2 linked regions of the Drosophila melanogaster genome follow. The protein of the gene in region 1 interacts with the protein of each later gene in a pairwise test. Each region holds a gene or a part of one and is shown on either strand. Other genes may lie near its edges. The genes, in order: Oxp and Gpxl.

Evidence for each region.
Region 2: the proteins of Oxp (region 1) and Gpxl interact in a two-hybrid assay, tested with the Drosophila melanogaster proteins (one large-scale study listed by BioGRID).

What each region holds. Positions count from the first base shown.
Region 1 is NT_033778.4:17,633,297-17,636,234, forward strand, and holds Oxp (oxpecker), read right to left. Parts: upstream 872-2,938; 5' UTR 821-871; coding exon 566-820; 3' UTR 501-565; downstream 1-500. Other genes in the region: rhi (rhino), read right to left, coding at 1-180.
Region 2 is NT_033778.4:19,054,608-19,058,124, reverse strand, and holds Gpxl (glutathione peroxidase-like), read left to right. Parts: upstream 1-2,200; 5' UTR 2,201-2,211; coding exon 2,212-2,423; intron 2,424-2,476; coding exon 2,477-2,846; 3' UTR 2,847-2,894; downstream 2,895-3,517.

The sequences.
Region 1 (2,938 bases):
GTTTTCCAATGGTTCCCAGGTGTTGTTCTCGTTCGGAAAACCGCTCCACTTCACCAGAACCTGGGGACGCCCATTAACAAACCGTTTGCCTAAGATTTTCTCCACTACATATTCTTCGACATGATCATTAGGCGGTGCATCGACCAGACCAAGATTTGGTCGCTGATGGTTGCGAGACATAACTTATCCGCTCACAGGACGCCGAGCAAAAGAACGGTAAATGGAACGACGCGCAAGGAGGTGCTGCTAACCCACTCGGAATACTATTAGGGATGGGAAAGCTTTTGGTATTTTTTTAATGTGCATAACTCACTATAAGACTTCAATAAGCAACAAATAAATTAAGCTAATTTATTTGACTCTGCTTAATAAATTAGCTCGCAAATAATCTTAACATGATAACCGTATGAAAAGCCTGGCGCTTCTCAGCAACGTTTTTGCAGCCCTGGTTATATTTTATTGAAATATACATATGTATAATAAAATAAAAGCCATTAAATAATGGGAACACGATCTATTAAGCTTTTATTTGTAAGCAATAATTTTTATTAAAATCTTTTTTTTGTCATTGGTCATTCTTTTTCTCCCGGCTCTGCTGGAATAGTTCGGCCTCGTAATCCGCAATCAGCGTCATGCACTTGCCCAAGTTCTCCAGGGGCTCCCAAGTGCACTGCTCTATGGGATAGCCCTCCCACTTGGTCAGATACTGAGGGCGTCCACGCAGATAGCGCTTTCCTAGAAACTTCTCCACTATGTATTCCGAAGATTTCTCCTTGACGTTTCGGACACCCAAGCCCAAATCGATGGATTTCTGGGACATGATCGCGCGCAAGTTAGGCGATTAGTTAGTCAGTTATACTGAGTCAGCACTGCCAGCTCGCTCGAAAGACAACAAGGGATGGGAAAACTCAAGATGTGCACAATTATGTATCGGAGATCGACTTACTCTAAAAACTTTATTTGAACATTTTCTTGTTAAGTATAAAAGTATTGTGAAGAATGTTGTTGCAAGAATATGAAATGTTACATAACGTCTCATGGATAATTTCTAGTTTTAGAAATTTTATAATTTGTCCAGATTTTCCGATAGCGAGGAGTTAAGTTAAGATCACTAAACAACTAATTGTATCGATAGCACGTTCTCAAGAAATCGGTTCTGCCAATCGATTCATTTTCAAATGATACAGGAAGAATTATTTATTTAAGTGGAATTGCAGAAAGTTAACAGTTTTTGAAAAAGCAGTGGACAAGCCAAAGTATGTTAGCAATGCCTATTAACTATGTGAGAAATTGCTCCTTTTTAAGACTGACCATTATATAAAATGCCGCTGGCCTGGCGGTTGTTGCACCTGTTTTTGTTTTGGTTTTGGTTTTAGTTTCGGTTAAACCAGACATCAACAAAAACTTGTTTCGAAGTCGAGTGCAGTTTGCCTGAGCGGAAATAATGGTGGGCACTGTGTGGAAATGGGAATGTATTTTAATTGACCATTGGCAAAATCTGCGCTTTTCTTTTCAGGCCACAAAAATCGCACATTGTCTATGTAAATTCGCTTTCCACAGCCATAATGTTCGACTCGCGTTGGACAACAATGTCATTGGCATGTTTCCCATCATTACGGCGCACAGAAAATGCCAATTTACATGAGAGTATGTAAACTAGCAATTATTTCCACAGAGTCTGCATCTGGCGAAGAGATTTTTATTCATTGAAATGAAGCCAAAGAAATGCGTCACGTTCGGCCAGTTGGAAAAAGTAACGGCAGTGTGACAATTCAAAAAACTACGCGCCGTTTCGGACAAGATTCAAAATCTGTTTTGAAATACAGTCTTACTTCAGTAAGCTGAATTTCTTCTTCATTTTGATGTCAAACAATCGACTTGTATTGAAGATGTTGAAGTTTGATATCTAAATTAAAAACATGAATTCCAATTTCACAAGATTTTTTTTTATGTTTCAGAAGATCCAACTGGAGGAGTTCGAGCTATAGAAGTGGGACTGTAAGAGTCAGCCAACCTGTTGCCATTACTGTTATGATTTCGAGCGCAAAACTTGTGCCGCAACTTAGCCACATGTGCACATGGGCACAAACTCGTACATTTCTTTCACTTTCTTTCTTTCGGCACAACGGCAGTGGCGGCGAATTTGTTTTAATTCGATAGAGTTAACAACTTGGTACATGGCGGAATAAAAGTGAAACCGGCAAGGCGACAACAAGGGCAGCTGGAAGGGTCTTTTCTGGGGCTTTCGTTCGAGCGCTTTTCAAAGTCAAGCGGCGGATTCACTTTCGTTTTCATCGCAATATTACAAAATATCCAAAGCGACATGCAGACATGTGTATATCTTTAGTATTTAGTGTTTAATTTGCATAGTCGAACGCCAAGAAACTCGAAACTTGTTTGCCCATTCTGCTGTTTGCTTGCTTTTTGGCCGAAACACGCGCGACAAAAATGCTTCTGCATTATATACAAAAATGTTGCTAGCCGATTTCAATAAGTTGTATTTCTTGATTTTTTCTCTGAAATGATTTAAGTCAATATTCATATATAGATGTGTACATGTGTAAATATGTATATACAAACATATGTATGTATGTGGCCCATAGAAATGATGCGGTGTGATCATCGCTTCATTAGCAAGTTAATTTTATTAACCCTGCTTTTGTCTCTCGGTTTTTGCTGGTTTCCATAAGGCCCAAAAAAGATTCCGTCTCGGATTGCGCAGTAGAAAGGTTGTGGTGTATTGATGTCTTATGCAACAGATTTAGTTTTAATTTGTTTTGTTTGGACTTTTTCAGCCTTTTGTAACTTTGTTGCCCTGCTTTGTTGCTGATTAATTTGAAGATCGAGATCCGTTGTAATTGTGTAAATATTATGTCAAGCTGACGTGACACTCTCCCAAGTTCAATGACACGCTTTTCCCCTAAAAAAAATCACTTAA
Region 2 (3,517 bases), 1.4 Mb from region 1:
ATGCGTACAGTTAATACATATCCTTTTTGCATATGTCTGCGTGTCTGGGGCTTATAAGCCAGTGTGTAAGTGGGTGTGCGTGCTCTTGCTTTGATGTGTGAGTCCGTTAAGGTCGTGGCTTATTAGGGGTCCGAAACCTTTGCCGCAGTGCATCAACGCGGCGGGATTTGCACGCAGACACTGCAAAAAGGCTCCCAAGACGATCCACTATAATTGGTAGCGAAAATCACGCATCCGCCGTGTGGGTCAAGTGGTGCTAGGGGAACTGGTCTAGCAATTGCTTTGATCTCGGGCGGAAAATCGGTGAGTGCGACTTTTATTAAATGTTTCCCTTTCGATTTGTTTCGGCGGAAAAGACTCCGGCTTTGTAAACTTTCATTAGTTGCCTCGTTAATATTCCAATTGTTGACACACAAAGGCGAAAGGTGGTGGAGGGGATGGCTGGCTTAACCTGTGTATAAAGGAATTTAATTAATAACGTCCTTCGTCCTTTTGCGTGTGCAGCGCGGCGTAAACTTAATTAAATGCGCAAGTGGCAAGTAGCAAGTAGCTGGGGCCACAGTGGCAAATGACAAGTGGAGATGCAGGACCAGCAGACGCAACTGGAGAAGCTCAGGTGCAAAGGTTGAAGGTAACACCTGGCCCGGCTAGAAGTAAGAAAAAAAAACGTTAAGGAAACCCTCCTGCCCCACATGTCAAAAGTTTTATTGGCGCAAACGCTACTTTTATGGCTACTGTTAATAGTGAAAAATGGTGCAACAAAAGCCAGAATGATGGCAGATGCTTAGACAAAACCAGATGGAAATGGCAAACGGGGGGAGCGGCAAGTTCATCGAGTTGGTCATAAAACAACGAGTTGTGGCTCAGTGACTTTAACGCGCTTCCATCTTTACGAGTTTGGTGCGCCGGGTTTATAACCTGTAACTGGGGGCAAAGTTTATTAAGTTTATGCCAAGTGCATCAAATATGCAAAACCGCTATAGTTGATCATCTTGGATGCTCGATGGATTTGACTTCGAGTCTGACGGAGATGTCTTTTAGCATAATCGCTGGTTATTGCTATAAAACCGGTTGGCAATCATTCTATGCTGATTTTATGATAATCACAATTTCAGCTGTGATCTATTAAAGGTGCTTTCTTCTGTGAGTTAAGTTGGATATATTTTTCTAATGGGAAAAAATCGTTAAAGTAAATAGTCTTCTTGTTTTTGCATTTAATAATGCCATATAATTCTGTTTACATAGGTTTTAAAATATATCATGCCTTTTCCTTCTTAGCTTTATGAAAGTGTGACATATTTTTCTGCGTGTCAAAGAGTTTGAAAAGTGATTTGCAGCCAAACTATAAAATGCACTGGCATTTCGGACTGTTTTTAGTGCAGAAGCTTGACTGACGACCGTAAGAAGTTACGCCCATTCCACGCATTCTAAATCAATTTCAGTCGAACGCCTTTCGCCTGGCATTGATTTATGGCCCAAATCCAAACGTCGTCTAAGTGGAAAAGCCGAACCGAAAAGAGGCGCAACTTTACCGAATTATATTTCAATTTTGGCAGCGAAAATGAAACAGAAACAGAGCCATACCGAGTCCACAAAAGTGGGGCGTGGCTGGGGAAAAGATGTTAAGAACTTTTTGACAATTGACTTAAAAAGTTTCCTCAAGCTGGCAGAAATTGACTGCCTTTTGTATACAAATAGGCCGAAATCACCAAGCCCACACACACACACACACACACACATATGGACAGGGCAAACGGAAAAGCTGGAGAAAATGGTGCCGCGTCCATGAAGCGGAAGTAAACACATAAAACGGAAATGAAAATTCAATTATTTCGTTACGATTGTTCAACTTTTTGTTGTTGTTGTTTTCAGTGTGCATCTGTGTGTGTGTGTGTGTATGTGTGTTTTGTGCTCTCATTTCGTGTGGCAGGCAGAGGCCAAAAAAAGTTTAACATTAAGTTAACGTGCAACTCGCTTCGTGGGTCAGCATATGCAACTTTAGCTCTTTTTGGGCAAATTCAATTTTAGCTGCCACTTTTTTGGGGCATGTGTATGTGTGTGTGTGTGTCTGCACCGAAACGAAAGGGCCGCACATTTAAATGCGATTTTTAACAGTCGCTTCACGCACAATTAGCCTCTCGAATCGATTTTCACTTAAAGCGTTTTCCCAGCTTCACTTAGCGATCCCAAATGCAGTTAGCACGCTAGACGATGTTCGATAAAGAATTTCTTTTCCCAGGCCTTTTGGTTGCAGTGGCCTTGGTGGTAGTATTACAAACACGCAGCAGATTGCAACAGGATTTGCAGGATATGCGATGGCGTCTGACGATACACGCTCTCACCGTTCGAGATACGTTTGGGAATCCAGTGCAACTCGATACATTCGCCGGCCATGTGTTGCTTATCGTCAACATTGCCTCCAAGTAAGAATGATCCACAGAAAGTTCTTAATAACTTGGCCCACCCTTTACTTCAGATGCGGACTTACTTTATCTCAGTACAACGGTTTGCGCTATTTACTCGAGGAATATGAAGACCAGGGCTTGAGAATTTTAAACTTTCCCTGTAACCAGTTTGGGGGTCAAATGCCCGAGTCCGATGGCCAGGAAATGTTGGATCACCTGCGCAGGGAGGGAGCCAACATAGGACACCTCTTTGCCAAGATAGATGTAAAGGGAGCTCAGGCAGATCCGCTGTACAAGCTCCTAACGCGCCACCAGCATGATATCGAATGGAATTTTGTCAAGTTTCTGGTGGATCGAAAGGGAAACATCCACAAGAGATATGGCGCCGAACTGGAACCAGTTGCCCTGACCGATGACATAGAGCTGCTGCTCGGCAGATGAGTCCGAATAAATAACGCAACATACGCGTTTCTGCCCACTGGCTTCCATAACTGCGACAACTGTGACGCCTTATCATTGGGGATTACTGTTTCTGATGTTGGCATCACATGCCAAGCGATTTCTTTCTGACGGTCTTACCTGGTTTCGCCTGTCACCTTCCCGCTGACTTCTGTCAGTTGCAAATGGCCAGCGTGGAAAGGAGCGTGGAGAAGGTGATAGTGTTTGCTGGAGTGCTGACCTTTTGCTCTGCTGCACTTGTCACTCTGCTTTATCAAATTGCAGTTAACGTTGCAGCTTGGCGCACGTCACGTCAACCATCCGCCCCGTGTGACACAATCGAGTGGCGGTGCGGGGGCATTGAATGCCATTCGACCTCGGGCACAATACTTGCTTGAAAAGTTTGAAAGAGCCAAACATTGCATTGTGTACCAAAATTGTGTTAACTAAGCAATGTACATGAATTTCAATTTCCCTTGACTCGATTGAAATTGTTTCGAATTTTTAAAACTACCTAAAAATTATCGTGATGCTTGGAGTCTCACTATTCATCAAGAGAATACACATTTGTTATACTAAGGGGACTTTTGGATAACTTTTTTGAGTTTTACTTTTAATAACTTTTTAGAGCGGCTATGGAACAAATTAAATTATGACTTTGTTTCTCCACAAAT